Linked DNA regions of Medicago truncatula. Each later gene encodes a partner of the first gene's protein in a complex. Links are inferred from orthologs where the notes say so. Each region holds a gene or a part of one and is shown on either strand. Other genes may lie near its edges. The genes, in order: F-box protein MAX2 and strigolactone esterase RMS3.

Region 1 (11,299 bases):
GTATGAATGCATCCTTCAAAAAAAAAAAGTGTATAAATGCAGTCATTTACACTGAGAAAAGAAATTAAAGTGGAAAAGTACGTGGAATGCAGACCAAACCCACGTAAGAAAGCTATGGCGCAAAAACTAATGATGACTTCTCACTTGGGCTTCCTATATCGTGGCAAAATTTGGATCAATTGATTAAAATTAGAAAAATAATCTTTTAAAAAAAATTAGAAAATTAAGTCTCTTCTTAGTGGATCATTATTAAGAACTATTAGATTGATCAAACTCACACATTTTATTATACTCTCTATATTAGATCACAAATCTCCTTTTTTCTCCAAGTTCTGAACCACCGAAAAAAAACCTTTTTGAAGAAATATCTTTCTTTCGATGAGAAAATGGGGCGTGCAGATTTGATATTATGTTAAGAGGAGAGTCACACTTTGGTTACTTTAAAAAAATCACTTAAAATAATATTAGTTTATTTGCACACTCCGTTTTGCGAAATTTGCTTATAAAGAGAATGGTCGAGGAAAGTTTTATTTTAGATTCTATTTGTGATAGAAGATCGTTTTGCCTAACAATCAAGATGATTGAGAAATGTAATGTGAAGTGATGTATATCATAATGGATGAGATTACCGATTTCTCTTCAACCTTTCCCTCTTGCAATTTAAGCAAAATAGATTCAAACATTTGCTTCATGTGGGGAATTTTAGATTTGGTATGAAATGAAACATTTGGACCTTTTTTGACTTGCATCGTTGAAGCTTTTTAAATAACTAAATGCACTTTTCTACTCAAAGTCTCTCTCTTTCCACCATGACAAAGCATACATGTATATGCCCTGTTTTATTATTTCAATGATTTCCTCCATGTGGAGAAGAAGCATAAATCGGAAATTACAAAGAAAATACAAATATTTAAAAGAAAAAACTACTGATTGAGGGAAGTTTTAAGAAATACAAAATTCTTTTTTATGAACATATTTAATTCTAACAGAACCATCAATTAAATTTGACAGTGAATAAAGTTCTTTTGAAAATCAATATATAATGTTCTTTTGAAAAATGTGAAATTCACTTTTTTAAATTTTAAAAATGGATTAAATAAGTTTTTGATCATTATAAATATAATAACAAGAATTTTTTTAGTCATTGTAAAAAAATGGTATGTTTGCGTTCCTATGAAAAATTTCAACACACAATTTTAGTCTTCATTAAATTTAAATTTGTTTAATTGCTCTTAAATTTTTGAATAATTTTTTTCAAACATGTTTAAAAATTGTTTCTTCACGAAAAATGATTTCTAGATCCTGACTTTCATTACTTTTATCTTGAATTTTTTTTGTTTATAAAAATTCATATTTAATGCATTTCATGTTTAAAAAATCTAATATTTTATAAATTGGAACTCGCTCATATAGCAAAGGAAGAAAATATCTTTAACCTCTAATTTAATATTAATTACTTCGTCCATAATCATAATATTGTTTTTGCAATTTTGCTTGTCCCTAAATATAAAAAAAATTTCGGGCTTCAGCCCTCTTTGTTATAAAAATATATATAATTTTTCACATTATTAGATATATTTATTACATTTTTTATAGTATATCTTTTTTTTATGATAGAAGAAAATTATAAAAGATGATGTTTGTTTCAAGTTATATTTGGAGATTCCTGAGAATATGATAGTGGAAAGAAATATTCCTATGTTTGTTTTTAATTTTTATAATTATTCCTTCCTGGGAATAGAAGTTTCTTGAAAATGTTGTCTTGTTCCTAAGAAAATTGGGAGGAATAAAGTTTTCATGAAGCTGGGAATAAAATCATTAATTACTATCCAGAACTATCGCTTTATCAGTCATTCCCATGAATACTTTAAATACTAACCAAACACATTTTCTCAGTAAACCTGAAAATACAGTTCTCATCCTTATATTCACAAGAAAATTATTCCCATGATTATATTTTGTAAACTTGAAACAAAGACCCCCTAAGGAACTAACCTAGGGACTCGACATCTCACTCAATCAAAACGAAGCTTAAGAGCCAAAGAAGGACAAAAGATTGAAGAGGTCCTCCATTAGAAAGAACCACGGTGACCCAAGTTAGCAAGAAAATCAACGCAAGAGTTAGCTCCCTATAAATATGCTTCAATGAGACCTTTCAATCCATAAGATAGACAAGAAAAAGAATGTCGAATATATGGATTTGAAGAGCCGCGGTGTGAGATGAAGTGAGTTGAACAATTTGTATAAAGACCCAAGAATCACATTCCACAAGAAGGGAAATAATACCCTGATCCCAAAAGGTTTTAAGACCATATTAAAGAGACCTCAAAGCTCAACATAAATAGCGGTGGAGGTTTTTTTTTTTTTTTGGGTTACAAAATTTTAGGGTGAGGGGATGGTGCCCCAGTCTAAGGTAGGGAAGACCTTCGAGCTCAAAGAGCACTTACAAAGGTATTTACATTTACCTCCCTTCAAAGGCACTAGTGAGGCTCGAACCCGGATTCTCTCGGATTCAAGACCTGTCATTTTATAGGAGTGGAGGTTTTAATATTACAACACAAGATTCTTATTATGGGATTTTTAAATTGTGAGATTTTTAAATTTGTGATATTTGTTTTCTCAATTTAAATTGATAGATATATTTTTTTTCTCAACAAGAAAAAGTTGTGAGATTGTTTTCTCAAAAAAATCGACTGAGATCTCATTTTCTGAATTTTAAAAAAATATTTAATAAGTATTTTTTGTCAATTTAAATTGATAGTAAACATCTTATGGAATAAGTTCATAAAAAGTAAACTCGAAGATTCATTCTTTCAAAGTATAAAATTAACTCTATAACACTTTGAGAGAAGGCAACAGAAGTGTTGATTGGCTTGCTAACTTCAGCCTTACCATGGATTCATGGAATTTTACTATTTTGGAGACCCCTCCTAGTGAGCTCAATAGTCTCCTCTTTGATGACATCTCTGGTGCTTGTATGCCTAGAAATGTTCGTGTAATTGTTTAATTTTCTCTTTTGGGCTTCGGCCCTCTCTTGTACCAAAAAAAAAAATTAACTCTATAACTAATACTTATGTGATCTTAACTTCTAAATTTTACTTTAGAATTAATAAATCATATATGTTGAAAAATGGATTCTAATTTTTTTGCCTGCCCCCGACACCGACACTAATCCGACGTGAATTCATTGTTAGCGTCAGTTTTTGCCTGGTTAAAGTGGGTTTTTGGCCGACTTTAAACACTGTTTTCTTGTAGGGCCAGGGGTGGCAAATAAAGTTGCTTCCAATCCTTAATCCACCCCACCCATATATCAACGTTAACCAAGCTATTACCTTGTTATATAATAAATTCATTCAACAACCAACACCAACCATATATTTGGTTACAAACTGCTACATTCAAAACTAGACAAAACAACTCGATGGTATGTTTCCATCAACGATGCTTAATTCAGCCGCAAATTTTTATTTTTTTTTAGGAAACCACAAACTTATAATTTACAAAAACTAAATATTCACATACTTAATTTTATATATAACTTAAGACATGTCCCTAAATTCCATATGATGCTATTCAAAAAGACTAGTTTTGTTCTTAAATATGCTTTGGTGACATAAAATTATATTATTGAGGGGTGGATGCTAACTTGTATAAGACCATGAACCTTTGTGATGCAATGATTGTTGTTAATGAGTCTCACATCAAATAAAATATGACTTAAATATATGTTTATAAGTAGGAGCAATCTTCATCCAACAAACAAAAAGGAACAGTGATGAAGTAGAAGGATTTTGCAGTTTCAACTAAATATCTGAATGAACTAGAGCAAAAAATGACGCAACATTTTTAGGCAATTGAAAAGGAACATTGTGATGAAGTAAAAGGGTTCTTGCGGTTTCAACTAAATTTGAATGAACTAGAGCAAAAAAGGATGCGACACTTTTAGGCAATCGATGATCCACTTATGAAATCATATTATGTATTTTCAACCAAAAATGAAATCTTATTTCTATTTTATAACTTTTAATTGATTCATTTGCATTTTTATTTCCATGGTAATAGTAATTGATAATTTTTTATTACTTCTATAGTTCTAATTCAACAACTATTAAATCGTGTTCTTAAGGGTGGTTCAAAATCCAAGTCAAAGAATTCACGTTTGAATTTCATCGAAAATGGAGATATCCTTTTATGTGTGTGATCATTGGCTTCAGGTTTTTTTTTTTAAGAGGCTACAATGAAATATATTACCACATCAAAAGGTCCTCCCTAACATAAGATATGCCAAGGAAAAGACACCAAAGTCAAAACAAATATTTACAAGGGAAAACCAAAACAGTGACTAAAGAAAGCAAATAACTATTAGCCTATGCCAAAAATAGTGAAATGACTAAGCCACCAGCCATGATAGTTGAAGGGAAGAGAAGGAAATTTCGCCTTCAGCCACATGAAAGTCAGCGACTTAATTTTATCAACCACCTGCATAATTGAGCACTCTTTGCCATTAAAGAGCATGTTATTTCTTTCTTTCCAAATTTTCCACGTAGTTGCATACCAAAGAACCTGTAAAATTGATCGTCGTGCCTTTGTGACACCGCCATCAACAGTGAAGGGAATTACCGTCGACAAACCCAACCACCTGGAGATATAGTGCCAAATCGAACCAAATATATTACAATGTAAAAATAAATGTGCTGAAGTCTCTTCGGACCCACAGCCAGCAACACACATCCAGGAATCATTAGGAATCACTCCACAACGAAGAAGGTTATCCTTAGTTGGCAACCTATCACGAAACATACGCCAAGCAAACAAAACGACCTTCAAAGGGACATCTTTATTCCAAAGAGAGGACACCGCCACCATAGAAACAAACGGAGGTTGAAAAGTGAGCAAATTATAAGCACTACGGACGAAATAGACATGAGATGTTTCCAAATTCCATAGCCACCTATCAACTTTATCAACCTGCAAAGTCACACCGTGAAATAATAATTTAAATTCCTCCACCAACTCTTCTTCCCACGCAAACAGCCCCCCTCCTCCAACTTCACGCTTGCCCCTCATCCCCCATCCCCCATCCTAACTCACACATCATCAATAATAACTTATGTACTCTTTTGAGGATTTTGTTTTGTATGGGATGGTATTTGTTTGTTTTTTCTTGAGGTTTGATTTTGATTGTATATTTAGTGAGTTGTAATTGTTTTATTCATGTTAAAGAGTCGTTGGATGAGAGATAACATGAACAATTGTTTATAAGTGAAAGCGAATTTTACCTCACAAATTGATTTTAGGAGAATGAATTATCTCTAGTATAAAAATCTAAGGTGATATTAAAACCTTTTCCAAGATCTGTCTTGATCGAACCACCTACCATTTATATCTATGCATCAAGTCTAATAGTATTGGATGCGATAGGCTGTGTTAAATACTATCATATTTGATGAAAAATGACATAAACAAGTGTTTCTAAATATGGATAACCATCATCTCACAAATCAGTTTTGTACTATGGGCTAGAGCAAATATAAAAACTTAAGAATCCATGAATGATACACTTTGTATCTTGGATAATAAGTATTTATTAGAGAAATGATATTTGTACAACCACTTTATGACAACTTTTTCTTTCATACTCACATTATCCTCTTATTTTCTCTCTTTCTTTTTCTCTCCATAGTTTTTAACCAATAAAAAGAGAGAAAAAAAATTATCACAAAAAATTGTATGAAATAGTTGTTCAAATATCACTACTCTATTTATTAATATCATTTGTTGGTCTTTTGTGAAAGAGAGATAAATTTTAGAAATAAAAAAAGAAAAAACTTATATAGTATTGAATCTCATGTGTCAATGTAAACTTTGTTATTTAACGTGGATTGATTGGACTAAATTAGATTGGAAGCTCGAAAGGAAGGTTAACGTTGGGTCCCTCGTCGGTCACTCACTGACTCACATATTATATTATTATACATATACTCCATTATTATTATTTCAACGCCAGTTTTAAAAATATCATCAATATCCAATAGAGATATTAACGCCAAGTGTATGTTGCACTATTGTGTTTTGTGTTCCTATCCAAATCCAATCAAAATGGAAAAGACAGAGCTTGACAAAGTAAGTAGATAGAAAGAAAGAAAAAATGAACAAGATACGAAACAAGAAAAGAAGTAAACAAAATTCAATCCAACAATGTGACTCTGAGTGATTTAACCCTCTTTCTTTATCTCATAAGGGATTAACTGGGTCCTGTTTGTGGTCCCCCAATTGTTTGTCCCTATTCTTTTTTCCCTTATCTTAAATCTTAATAATAATGTACATGCAGATTTCATTTTGTACCATTACCCCATTTCCCACTGCTGGCTTGTTGCCTTTTACAGAAATCCAAACCATCCCTCATTTTCAAACCATCTCTCACACACACAATTTTGGATCTTAGTTACTCTTAATCGATGTTTGATATCATCGTGGATATGTCAAACTGTGATTTTACAAAAGTTATCGGTGTAATATCAAACACAAACTTAATGGTGAAAAAATCATCATGACTTTAATGTATGATAAGAAAAAATAAACAAAAATGATAAATAAGATGAGGAAAAGACGTACATCTTTTAAAGATAGCGGATCCAGATCACACGATTTTAAAATAAGAGAATATTAAAAAATGTCTTGTAAATATTGTTTAAGCAATCAAAATATATAAATTTCCTTAAAAATTTATACAATTGTTATTTAATAAAAAAAAATTATATTTTTAAGATAAAATTTCTATTTATAAATTTTTTAACAAATACTCAAAGAGACATGGTTAGTAAAACCCTTTAAAATTTAGTGAGCTACATACATCGTATTCACGTGGCTATGCATCACCCAACCAACAAAGTGTTTTCAATCTTATGACTAATAATAGCCATACCATACCCATCAATACCCATTATCAATCAAGCATATGATATCATCCTCTACCATACACAATACAATAAAATAAAATAAAAATGTAATAAAAACATTACTCTTTATAACATCTCAGAAACTGCCACAAATATCACTCACTAGATTTCATTGATTGATACTCAATACCCCAATCACCTTACCTCTATAAATTTCCTTCATACATATTCCTAAAAAGAAGAAAGTAGTTATTTTCGTGAGAATTTCTTACCGGTGATGGTAGGAAACAACTCAGCAACCACCGTCAGCCACCTACCGGAGGAGATTTTATCGAAAGTCTTCACCGGAATAACTGACACACGAACTCGAAACTCACTCTCCTTAGTATGTCATAGCTTCTTCAAGTTAGAGAGAAAAACGCGATTATCCCTCACGCTCCGAGGAAACGCGCGTGACTTATACAGAATTCCAACTTCCTTCACGAACGTTACTCATCTCGATGTATCACTTCTCTCGCCGTGGGGTCACGCGCTGTTCTGTTCACCTGCTGGTAATGATTCTCCGCTTCTAGCTCAACGGTTACGAAATACTTTCCCGCGCGTGACTTCACTCACTGTCTACGTGCGTGACCCGCACACGCTTCACCTTCTTCTCTTCAACCACTGGCCGGAGCTTCGTGATGTTCGGCTTGTTCGGTGGCATCAACGGCCGCAGGGGTTGCAACCGGGGTCAGACTTCGACGCCTTGTTCTCACGGTGCCGATCGATTACTTCACTTGATCTTTCATCGTTCTATCACTGGCCGGAGGATCTTCCACCGGTTTTGGCGGAGAATACTACCACAGCCGCCTCACTCCGTCGTTTGAATCTCTTAACGACGTCGTTCACGGAGGGGTTCAAGTCTAACCAAATCGAATCCATCACTTCATCTTGCCCTAATCTGGAACACTTTCTTGTTGCATGCACTTTTGATCCGAGATACATCGGTTTTGTCGGTGACGAAACTTTATTGGCCGTCGCTTCTAATTGTCCTAAGCTGAAACTTCTTCACATGGCTGATACGTCGTCGTTTTCGAATCGGAGAGAGGAAGAAGGTGTAGAGGATGCTAGGGTGAGTCGTGCCACGCTTGTAGCGTTGTTCACTGGGTTGCCTCTTCTGGAAGAATTGGTGCTAGATGTTTGTAAAAATGTCACCGAGACTAGTTTTGCTTTGGAGATGTTGAGTTCTAAATGTCCTAATTTGAAGGTTGTGAAGTTGGGTCAGTTTCAGGGGATTTGTTTGGCAATTGGGTCACGGCTTGACGGAATTGCGCTTTGCCATGGGCTTCAATCGTTGTCTGTTAACACGTGTGGTGATCTTGATGATATGGGGTTGATTGAGATTGGGAGAGGGTGTTCACGGTTGGTGAGATTTGAGATTCAGGGTTGTAAGCTTGTTACTGAAAAAGGGTTGAGGACTATGGCGTGTTTGCTTCGAAGGACTTTGATTGATGTTAAGGTTGCTTCATGTGTCAACCTGGATGCGGCTGCTACTCTTAGAGCTTTGGAGCCTATTCGGGACCGGATTGAGCGGCTTCACTTGGATTGTATATGGAAAGAAAGTGATAACTTCGGACAAGGTTTGTTCAACTTTGATCTGAACACTTTGGATGAACTGAACGGTTCAGAGTTAATGGATTGCTTTGGAGGTGAGGAATGTGGAGAAGACACAAGCATGAGGAAGAGGCAAAGGTGTGAGTATGGATTGGAGGCTGATGATTTGTTTGTGCAAAGCAATGGCAATGGTAACGGCAATGGATACTATGGCTATAGCTGGGATAGGTTGGAGTATCTTTCTCTTTGGATAAAGGTTGGTGAACTTTTGACTCAGTTGCCAGTAGCAGGGTTGGAGGATTGCCCCAATCTAGAAGAGATTCGTATAAAAGTCGAAGGAGATTGCAGAGGACAGCCCAAACCGGCAGTGCGCGAATTTGGTTTGAGCATTCTAGCTTGTTATCCTCAGTTGTCAAAGATGCAGCTGGATTGTGGCGATACAAAAGGTTATGTATACACAGCGCCTTCCGGCCAATTGGATTTGAGTTGGTGGGAGAGGTTCTTCCTTAATGGGATCGGTAGCTTGAGTCTAAATGAACTTCATTACTGGCCACCACAAGATGAGGATGTGAACCAGAGGAGTCTGTCTCTTCCAGCTGCTGGCCTGTTGCAAGAATGCTATACTTTGAGGAAGCTTTTCATTCATGGAACAACTCATGAACACTTCATGAACTACTTCCTCAAAATACCAAATCTGAGAGATGTTCAGCTGAGAGAGGATTACTATCCAGCACCAGAGAATGACATGAGTACAGAGATGAGGGTAGGATCATGCATTCGCTTTGAAGATGCGTTGAATAGGCGTCAAATATGTGACTGATCAAGTGTAATGTTTGCTAGGATGCAATAAACAAGAGAAAAAAGAGGATAGTTCTTAAGGCTATAGGGCTTGTTAATTGTTATTGCCAATTATTAACATCAATTACGGCTTTGGTAGATTATTTGTCACTTTCCTCTTTTGACACCGTAAAATCGTGGGACTCCAGTTGGATTTTTGTTTGAGTCTCAAATGTAACCATTCTACCCTCGGCTATTTTGTTATTTTCGTGGAATAAATATGCGCGAGAGATTACATGCATCTTCTCTCACAAGAACTTAAATTATCAAGGTAACCAAAAAAAAAAAAAAGAACTTAAATTATAAGGTAAAAAAAGTTGAAATTATTATGAGAAACTTTTTTTGACAAGTAGATTATTATGAGAAACTTATATACGATTTGTTTTTTGAGTCTTCTAGCAAGAGCTCTTTGTATTTAAACTTATATCTTAGGTTAGAATCTGATGCATAGCTATGCATGTGAAAATACAGAATTTTTTTAAAACCCAAGGTAGGTCCGTTTAGTGTAAAAAACAACAAAAAATTACTGTCTGAATTTCTATCACAGTTGATTAAATTATAATATGTACCCCAACATATTTTGGAATTCTTACTGATAAAATGGATATATGTGTTTAGTTCCATACATGTACCAGCACCGAGCATCACTATTTTAGAGAGCCGGATCCTCTCCTTCACTCTCTCCATCCTCTCTATCTCTCTTCTTTTATCGCTTTTTTAGCATTCAATTCTCTATTCTCTCTCATCCCTCCTGTGTAATGTGAAGGAAAGGATCCGAACACCTATTTTAGGTACAACCGAGCTTCATAGGTTAAAATTAAGCATGTGTTTGAAAGAATGGAAGCCAGTAGGATTCGACTGTTCAGTATATTGAATATTCTGTCATGAATTACTTCTTTCAAAATTTTCAACCATTAAATGAAAGGTCAACCATATTTTGTGTGATTAAAGAGATGGATAAAAAAAAGCCATTGCTTCTTTTCCTTCTCTTTACATTGCTTCACATAAGAGACGATTCAAGAAATGCACGAATGCACGCACATTTTAACATGTTTTCAGGACATATAATTCATATAAGTTTACAACATCAGCCGAAAATACAATGTGATAACTCAACCCAAAGTTCACTATGTACAAAAGGTAATTGCTGCATCAAGACATCGAGTACTCAATATCCACCAAGCGAGATAGGATCTCCTCACAACTTGGTCGCTCATTCGGTTCTGCCCAACACTCTGCACATGAAAAATCAAGTAACCAGTTAAACTAGATGGGGTCTGAATTATAACATGCTTAATGCTTTTTTTAAGGGTCTAAAGTAGTAACTTTTTATGAAAAGTTGTGTATTCAACTCAACGCCTTGGAAATTGAACTATTTGACTTTTTTAATAAATCATTTCTTAATTTGGAATGCTTAAAGAGTGCCCCAGGGGCACTCCTTAACAAGACCCAAAAAAAAAAAAATATATAATTATTTTTTAAAACAAAAGGGTATTGATTGAAGTTATGAATTAGTTGCAGATACCTGAAATCAGTCTGCCTAGCGGGCCTTCAGGAATCTCCAATCTGGAACCCTCATTAGCAACAGTATAAACCACCTAATCAGCAGAGAATAAAGATTAGCCAACATAAACTGTTATTTTGATTCTCCAGAATTCAACAAATATGTTTCCAATATAGAACTGTGACAGCAATAGAAATCGTAACAAATCTAACAAACATACCCTCTCTGGAGGTACGCCTTCCCATGGCCTACTCAAGTTGCAGAGCTCCCACATTATCACACCTAGGCTAAAGATATCACATTTTTCAGTGAACGGCTCATTTCGAATCAGTTCAGGAGCCATCCATTCTGGTGTTCCAGCTGAAGAAGAATCTCTCATGGGAGACTCTGTAATTATTCTTGAAAGTCCAAAATCACAGACTTTCACTGTCCAATGCTTATCCACAAGGCAATTTGCACTTTTCAC
Region 2 (9,687 bases), on another chromosome or scaffold:
TTGTGAATATTGAAAAAGTAATGGATAAAATTATCAAACCAAGAAAATAAATGCTTACTTAGGGAAACCAGCATTTGTTCAAAGATCAACTGACTAAAATCAGATTCTCAAGCACGACAAAGCATTCGATACCCACCTAAAAAAGGGATTAAATATCTTTAATAACTCAAAATAAGTACTTCCATTTACAGTAAACTAAAAAGAAAATGTATAGATTAACTGCTTAAGGAATTTCAATTAAAAATGAACTAGATTCTGTCGATTAGCATAGATGAACTGATTAATAGGTTTTTGACCTATTATTTATGTTCTTTTCTTTTGCCCTCTTGCATTAGCAGAAAAGTGGATTGTAATTTTACATATGTATAATCTTTTCATTATTTTTTGGTTTTCTTAAAAGGCATTATCTTTTCGAATTATATAGACATGTAGACTATAAAGGGGATTTGAACAAATAACTTTCGATTTTGGTCGGACTTTTTTTCCATATAAAATTGCAGTTGAAAACATATTTTTGGAAAAACGAAGTGGTAGAACAAGAACTTGTAGGATAATCCATGAAAAAAGAAAGAAAAAGAAGAGAAAAGGAAAATTATGATGAATGCGGAAGAACAATGTTCGCTGCCATATAGAGAATATTACAATATAGAGAAAGTGAATCAACATTGTATTGAATGATTACAAAGGGAAGGATTGCAAGTATATATACACAATGTGTGAAGGAAAAGTCTCTAACTAAATGTAACTATCCTAACCAATCATGACTAATTGTAACTATAGTTAGTTTATCAGTTAAGTCCAATCTAATGTATAAAACACAGATGACTTGTATAGCAAGTAACCATGTTAAGGCTTAGTATCTAATAGTTTCAATACTCAATTTGATTCTATATAAATTTTTGGATTCAATTTGATCCCCTTGAAAGCAAACTTAGTCGTGAAATCATTAGTTAGACACAACATAGCTAATTTTGATGATGCTCGTGACTAGGGCTGGAAATGAGTCGAGTCGAGTCGAACCTGTCTGAGCTCGATTCGACTCCATAAGAATTGGTTCGGCTCGAAACTCGACTCGAGTTTGAAACGAACCTTTTTTTTTACCTCAAGTTCGACTCATTTAAAGTTCGCGAACAACTCGGTTCGGCTCGTTAGGTTCAACTCGTCTACTCGATTTGTATACTTCAAAAGCTTTTTTTCTTCAAATATTTTTTTTTGTCAAAAATACATGTCTTTGACTTAAATATATATATATATATATTAAATAAAACTATGAAGGTAGAAAGGCAGTAGCACTTACTACTGTAGCGCATACCATGTTTTACATTGTACTCATTATCATCTACCTCTCTTATATATACACTCTTACTCTCTAATATTTTCAAAACACCCGATGTGGAACTATTTGTGTACAAATGTTTGTTTAAAAGTCTTCAAAAGATATTAACTTTTTTCCTCAATCATAACAATTATCGTTGATTATTAATCAAATTAGTAATAATTCCTATGAAAAAAGTACATAATTATTAGAAGAAGCTTGTAATAAATTAGATATTATATAACAATATGCAAAATAATATTTTATATATATCGAGCTGGTTCATGAACCAAACGAGTCGAACCATACTCAATTCAAGTTCGACTCATTTATTTAACGAACTTAATTTTCAACTCAAGTTCGACTCATTTGGTTCACGAACCAAGTTCAACGAGTCAATTATCGAATCGAATCTCAAACTATTTTCGAGTTGGTTCGATTCATTACCGGCCATACTCGTGACCAATTGACCTTGTCAATGTGTTGTTTGTAAAATAAAAGAGCAATTCATAGGAAATAATGATCAGGGTGCCACATTGAAACCTAAAATAAATTTGAGGAAAATCAAATTGACACGTATACTTAATCTTGTATGGACTATTTCTTTATGTTGATTTTAATGATATTCTTCCCGTACAACAATTAAGATTATTTTATTTGAAGGTTCATAACACATTTAAAGGTATATCAAACTATGAAATTCATTACTAGTGTTTTAGAGAATGAATCTATACAAATTTTTTTGTAAGGAATTCCAATTATTTACCTTATTAGCTTATCAATCTCTTGCCCATGCAGCTTTTTCAATTTAAAAAAGAGTTGATAGAAGATATGTTTTTAGATAGACTAATATGATTGATGATATGCAAGATGTGAATATGTAAGATTTTGATATGTGATCCTTAATTTTTGAATAAATCAAAATTTGTTTGGTCTAAAAAAGTACTTACATAAGTTTGAACAAAGCTAAAAACCATAAAACAAGTGGACCATTCATATTGTGGATTCTAGCAAGAAATCCAAAATGCAAAATATTATGACCAGATAAGCCATTGTCTTAAAACTTACCAAAAGTCAATCGTAGTACATAAGGTCGCATCAAATCAAATAATTGAAAATCACTAGATAAAATTTTGAAACACAAAGAATAAACCAGTAGAAAACAAAAGACCTTTATAACTAGTAACTACTAATCATCATCATTTAGTCAAAAAAAAAAAAAAAAACCAATAATCATCATGATAATAAACCATTATATAAAAGAAACAAGGCATTTCTCTTTTCTTTTTTTCTTTGTTTCCTTTTCTCATATCGCAAATTAAAAGTAAAAGAACCTAAAATGGGCACACATCACGTGACATCACGTGCAGATTCTTATCCTACATAAAAATCTCATAAAATCTATGAACCAAAACCCACACATTATTCGACACGTGTCCACATCGAACCTCTAGTACATGTCTTCTAGAGCTTTAGACCAGGACAACCTTGGTCCTTGGTCAGCATCCAATAGTTATAAACCCAAACCCATACCCACGCGCCCAACACAAGCTTAAACCCCACGCGCTAATGTGAAAGTGCTATCTCCAACTGATGAGCCAAGTAAGAAGGAGCGCTCAAATGAGGAAGATGCCCCTCCGTGTCCAGCCACTGCACCGTACTCTTCCCACCAAGATGCTCCTTCATGTAAGTCGCAACCGTCGCCGGAACCGACATGTCCCTCGCCGTTTGCATGATACAACAAGGTACCTTAACCAATCCTAAAATCCCTCTCAGATCACTGTTGAAGACCGTTCTTGAAACGAAAAGTGATATGTCTGGTCTCATGTTGAAAAGTGTTCTAGAAAATTCTCGAACCGCTGTAGGAACATCGGCCCCGACAGCTAGTGGAGCAAAACCGTTAACCCAGGCTTCATAGTTTGCTTCCATTGCTGAAAAAACTTGCTCAATTTCACCTTGCTCAAATCCTCCGTGGTAATTTTCTCCGTCGTTCAAGAATCTGAATAAACAAACATAAATAAATAAATAGTCATAATACGAGGGATATATGACAAACGTATTTAGAACTAGTTATGAGTGTTGTGTAACCTTGGGGAGGCACCGATGAGGATGAGTTTGGAGAAGAGTTCAGGGCGGCGAATGGAAGCTAACATTCCGATCATGGCGGAGATGGAGTGGCCGACGTAAGCACAGCGAGTGACATGGAGGGAATCAAGGATGTTGAGGAGGTCATCAACGTAAGCGTCAAGAGTTGTGTAGCGGCGGTAATCGAAGTAATCGGGGTTGACACTGCCGGCGCAAACGAGGTCATAGAGAATGACTTTATAGCTGCGGGTGAAGTAAGGGAGCACGCGCTGCCATGCTGATTGGTCGGTGCCGAAGCCGTGGGCGAAGACGATGTATTTGTCGCCGGAGCCTTCTACGCGGACATTCAGTGCGTCGAGGATGGAAGTGCTGCCCATGTTTGGACAAAAGAAATGTGTTGGATTTGGATATAAGAGTTGTGTGTTTTGGGATACGAGCCAAACTGAATATTTCTATCTCACTATGTTTTGAGTGGTATTTATAAGAAAAAATAAATGTTCTGTACACACTCGTTAAACCACTCTAGATTATATATGTGGGAGAAAAATAGATGTAATATTTTGACAATATGATTCATAATAAGAAAAGTGTAATGAAATTGAGTTAAGATCACGAAAAAAAATATATTAAAGAGTTTGATTTGGTCAACCAAATACGAGTTCATTAATCATTGACAACACTTAAATTCTCACTAATGGAACCCTTTTATTTCTTTGAGAAATGAAAAAGATTTTGATGCTAAAAATTTAGGAGTATCCACTAACATTGTTGTGTTGATAATTGTCAAGATTAGTATTACACACAATGATATAACTCCAAAAAAGGGATTTAAATTAGGGAAAACATCCGTGTATTGTTAAGATTAGGGCTACGACCATACAAGATCCGCACATACGATAGCACCCTCAATGGGTTTTCGAGCTATTTTACCTCAACGATACTATATAACAAGCTTCTTTCCTCAAGAAGCAAGGTATACACTATTTATGTTTATAAACTCTTCTAAATTTTCTAATAAATTTGAGCGTTAAATTGCTTATAAGTACACCGTCTCATTGAAGACTTCGAGTTGTCGTCCTCTACCGCACCCCATCACTTATATCCACTATTTCGGGGCCACCTTGAGTTACATTTTATAACCTAGAACCGATGGTCCAATGAGGCTATGATTACTCTCCAAATCTTTCCTAGGGATGTATTATTAATCAGTCAAAATAAAAGCCATAATATACCATTAAAAATAAATAAAACAACGGCTTACAAACCAAATTTCCTTTCTTAGTAAGTCATTTTTATGGTTTATTTTGTTTGAGATATGCCAAGTTGTATGTGTGTTGTGTTAAGAGGAACCTACTCGAGGGAGATATTTTCTTTGAAAAATTGTGCATGGTAAACTCGCTACTAATATGGACGGTAACCATCGTTAGATGACTTACGATCCTTGATCATTGTAGTTCTCATGATAAATCTATAATTAGCTTCTTGTGGGATTGTAAGAAAGTTATACTAATATAGATGTTGAAGTTATAAGGAGGTAATAGGTTCAACTATCTCACTAACAAGATATTAACTAACATATGTTAGTGAAAAGAAATTACCAATTCAGAGAATGCATCGCAACAACTAGGGTAGATAATGAAATCGAATTCCCTGTAATTAAGGGATTTCATATTCAGGTGGTCGGAATATCAATTGTCATTTGATTAAGATCAAACTATGAAAAATGTAAATTAAAATTGTTTTTTTTTTTTTTTTATAGAATGTAAATTAAAATTGTTATTTCATAATTTAATATATCAAATATGAATTCAACCTAATTGATTGAACGATTGTTGATGTTTCCGGATGTGCCGATGTCTCAACTGAGTTTGTCTCTACACAAAATTTTTAGAATTGTTTTTAATAGTAGTATAATTAATCAATAGTTGATATTTTAACCACAAGACCCACACTTATCACAAATTCTTTCACTCTTAGCCTACATCTATCATCATATGGAAAGCGGATTGTCTTCGGTGACTCGAGAGTGCAGTGGAATCACAACCACACATTTTTCACCACTTAATTTGGTCAAAATTCATTAAGTAGCCCTTGAATGGTGGAGATATACACTGGATTTCATCCGGTGAAAAATTCTCTCGAGAGAATCTCCATCCCATCGTATGTATCACAAATCCATTCTTGATAACATGAATATGTAGAATCCAATGCATAATTATAAATGAGTGATGTGTACACATGCGATCAATTTAGATATTAAAAAATGTATTTTTTTTCACTGTGGATGCTCTCAAAGCACTTGTTAAGAAGCTCAAAAAAAAAAAAAAAAATTTCTTTTGAGATTTGAGTGTTCAACGCATTGGATCTTTGAAAAAATTATACATTAAACTTATAAATTATTTCCTTAATGCACTTGTTAACAAGACTTTATAAATATTATCAAGAATCAAATGTGAAATCAAATGAGAGATGATTGATTAAATAATTGTTTAGTTATTTATATAAAGATATTTATATCTATAATGCTACAAATTTTCATATATGATACTTCACTGTTCAAAATTTCTGGATCCGACGACACGGGTCTCAAATGTGTGAATGGAGATAGTCGGGTCACACAATGGAGCGTGATTGTTGGAGCACTGGTACACAAACAAAAAGTGACGCTGATGATGACGAATAAGGAATGACAGTAGATGAACATGTATGGTTGTACATTCATCCAAGTTCAAGGCACTGGAAAAAAAACGAGTACATGTGTACCATTGCTAGTTAGCTTCAATTTTCACCAGTACATCATAATCCAACAATTGCTATCATTTGCTGTAGTTTGGTGTAGACGTGACAGAGATAGAATCTTTGCATGAATTGTTGTTTGATTAAAAATAGAAAGATGTAATGTAATAACATAGTGGAATCTGATTCATTGGAATTTGGAAGTAGCCTTCAAATATAAACCTCTTTCCCCTTCATTTACCTAGCTTTAAAAAATTAAAAATTAAATATACAAAATTCACACACAAAACAGGAAAATCAAAACGAATATGGAATTGACAAAGTCTGCACTTTTTTTTTGTCTATTCGTAAAATTTCATTGTCTCTCTCTGACAAAGATGTAGCAAGCTGCTTTCACCATCTCTAGTGTCTAGCAATATGCTTTTACTCGAAGCCACTAGTTAAATGCATATATAAAAGAACTTCACTTATCTTCAATGCTAATTTATGAAAATTTATTATATGCATGCATCACATGATGCTTTCCTTTTCTTCTTCTATTTTTTTATTTATTAAAGATGCTTTCCTTTTATTCGATAAACATATATATTGATACTAAATCCTAATGTGAAAGTTGATTGTCAAAAAAAGTTCCTAATGTGAAAGTCACGTACAACAATTAACTTTTTATTTTTGAAGAATAACAATATAATTAGCTTATTACCTCAAAAAAGTACAATTATCATATTGTTTCTTAAAAAAACAATTTATTATATGCTTTTTTTTTTTTAGCAAGCACAAGTTTTTTTAAGCTTTACCTATGACGCAAAATAGTATACAAAGTCCCAATTATATATGAAGTTTGATCAAGAAATAATTATTAAATTAAAATAGATAGATAACGAGATATTGGACCACAGAACAGGATTCAGATTAGTGGATATAAATATACTTCCGACCAGGTGGATAAACTAATTAACTTTACGAAGAAAAATCTATACGGGTCTAATTTTATATATAGCGCCTAAGTGTACAATTGATATGTGGTGATAAAAATTAAATTTAAATGAGTTGATTATTTAAAATTTATTTTGGCTAAAAGTTGGTTGAATTTAATTAAAGTGATTTATGTTTAAAATATATGGGTCATATTAACTTGTGCTCTTAGGGCACATGTTAAACATTAATTTCATTTCATAAATGGTAAGAATTTAATGAAAAAAAAATAAATATTAAACATTTTGAATAATAAATTAACACAATTTCCAATACATAATTTCTATTAGTAGAATTCTTAACATGTGTCACAAGGGTACAAGTTAACATTTTCCATAATGTTTATATTAACAAAAGGGAAATGTTAATCGGTGCCTTGGGGCACTAGTTAAGGAAGTAAATATAGTAGTTTTAATTGGAAGTTGCGCAGTCAACTCGTCAAAAGTTTAAAAAATATTATTTTTAACTTAAAACTTTATTGTTTTATCTTCCTTAACCAGTGTCCTAGAGACGTCGATAAATCTGATCCTTAACCAAAAAAAAGGTCAAGGACCTCAAAGTTCTACATAAAGCCAATAATTTTGCACCATAGATCATCAAAGAAATCAAAGATAAGAGAATGCAAACAAGGCTCATCCAAAAAGAAGTAGATAAGTTCTGAATATTGGGGCCCTTGCCCTAACTAGCATATTCATATTGTGACCCCAACGATAAGGAAAGACAATGTAGGTATTCCAATGTTCTATATATGGTGTTGGCACAAAGAAGTTCTATTGGGACAAACTTTCTTCCATGTTTAATTGTTCTGCTGACTCATATGTTTTCTTTTTCGTTTTCTAAACCTTGACTTTTTTCCCTATCTTTAAAAAGATAATGCTTTGTGTTTAGCCATCTTCTATCTATTATTCTTGACTAAATGGAAAGTTTAGAATGAGAGAGACGTGTAACTAATCCTCATTAATTAAATGCAATAACAAATTATCCACTATATTATTCTTGGGTACGTGGACAAAGAATTAAACACTACCTGAAACTTAGAAACGATGAAAAAATCCCACAAATGCAAAAATCTAAACTCTATTAATGTTGCTCTTTATTTTTGTCACTAAAGTTACTTTTCTCTTACAAAAAAAAACTATACCCTAGGGTTTAAGTGAGTTACATTTGAAAAGTCAAATAGATTTGACTCTTTAGTAAGTATGAAATCCGAATTTGACAGTGCAAAATCTAGAGGTTAATATTTAGTATTTTTTTGCTTTCACTATAGCGATTTAAATGTATTTTTTGTGATATGAAACAAATTTTTACTTTGTTGATGATTCTAACAATTTATACCTCAGAAGTATATGTGAAGATGGAAGAAGAAGCTCTCACTGTTTTTCTTGAGTGATTTATTCTCAGCACTGCAAGTGCAACCAATGATGGTGGGTTTGGGTACAAGAAGCTTGACAAAAAGGTGCTACCTGCCTTTGAAAGAGTGATGATAGGTAAACACTCATAGGTGGCATACCACTCCTTTACCACCCTTATGTGACATTTTTTTTTTTTTTTAAATTTCAGACCTCTTCTCTCCTCAAACCCCTCTTTCTGTTAATTGCTTTAAGTTACTGCAATTGAGCATTAATGAGGTTTATTAGCTTTCTTTGTAATCGACTCATACCATTAAAACAAACAATACCAAATTCAAAAACCAAAAAGAAATTTGAGACTATACAAGGAAGTAATGGATCATGTAGTTGCAACTGTTTGTATATTGATGAACATATGATTTGTCTCTTCTCCGAGCAACCCACTGCCTCCCTCCGCCTTATGGCCGCCGGATTTACCGTCTCCCTAGAAAACGTCAGATCTGAACCAAAAAAACTGATACAGTGCGGGAGAAAAGAAGATCACCGGCGATGTGACATTTCTGGATCTGAACAGCTTGAAAACAGGCGGCGGTGGTTATGAGGAAGAAGAGGCGGCGGTGTGGTTGCAACTTTGAAGAGAAGAGGTGGCGATTCTAGTGGTGTTAGGGTCGGAGAAAGGTGAGAAGATGACAGAGGGTTGGAGGCGCGAAGAATAGGGGTGGCGGTGGTGGTGAGTGGTGGTGTTAGTGATCTGTGGAGATGGAGAAATGAGAGAGAAGAGAGCGAAGGGAAAGACTTGTGTTTGTTTTTCTTGCATTGATAAAATAAATAATAAATAATAATAAAGGCCATTGTTGTTGTAAATCAAATTATAAGATGTCTAATGATGTTTGGAAAGCAACAATAATTGCTCGAGGTTGTTATTGTATATTTATTAGTTATCTATTTTTTTAAGTTTAAAGTAGATAGATATAAAAACAAGTAAATTATGAAATAGCTGTAATATATTTTACAATATACATAAAAGGATGTTTCATACATTTGCATGAGTATGTTCCATATGTATTAAATTCTGAAGAGAAAAGAAATGAGTGCAATGAGCTCTCAGTTTGTCTTCTCCGCTCAAAGTGATCTCAACCTGCAAACCACCAAAAAACCACCCGACCTCCATAAGCCTTCAACCCCTAAGCTTTCATTTCGTGATAAACTTTGAAGACCCTCCCAAGA

Evidence for each region.
Region 2: the proteins of F-box protein MAX2 (region 1) and strigolactone esterase RMS3 are in contact, whole or in part, in a cryo-EM structure (PDB 8IF6), measured with the Oryza sativa proteins. The link is inferred for Medicago truncatula from reciprocal best matches to the Arabidopsis thaliana genes MAX2 and AT3G03990. Residues at the interface, in NP_001411525.1 of Oryza sativa: Gly109, Gly110, Ser113, Ser115, Ser116, Ser118, Tyr596, Ala597, Leu598, Thr599, Pro601, Asp634, Asp636, Val637, His666, His668, Leu696, Met697, Thr699, Arg702; in NP_001404251.1 of Oryza sativa: Asn61, Arg63, Gly66, Ser67, Asp81, Ser83, Leu89, Arg97, Gly107, Ser108, Pro111, Ala135, Arg137, Pro211, Asp217, Pro219, Ala220, Val222, Gln223, Ser226, Arg227, Asn231.

The regions. Positions count from the first base shown.
Region 1 is NC_053045.1:38,924,259-38,935,557, forward strand, and holds F-box protein MAX2, read left to right. Parts: upstream 1-6,949; 5' UTR 6,950-7,176; coding exon 7,177-9,312; 3' UTR 9,313-9,570; downstream 9,571-11,299. Other genes in the region: serine/threonine-protein kinase EDR1, read right to left, coding at 10,482-10,564, 10,855-10,927, 11,054-11,299. UniProt on the Arabidopsis thaliana protein: Component of SCF(ASK-cullin-F-box) E3 ubiquitin ligase complexes, which may mediate the ubiquitination and subsequent proteasomal degradation of target proteins. Promotes the senescence. Is necessary for responses to strigolactones and karrikins.
Region 2 is NC_053042.1:5,249,598-5,259,284, reverse strand, and holds strigolactone esterase RMS3, read right to left. Parts: upstream 3,863-9,687; 5' UTR 3,778-3,862; coding exon 3,404-3,777; intron 3,315-3,403; coding exon 2,882-3,314; 3' UTR 2,541-2,881; downstream 1-2,540. UniProt on the Arabidopsis thaliana protein: Involved in strigolactone signaling pathway. Does not move long distances acropetally in the plant to regulate shoot branching and is rapidly degraded in the presence of strigolactones.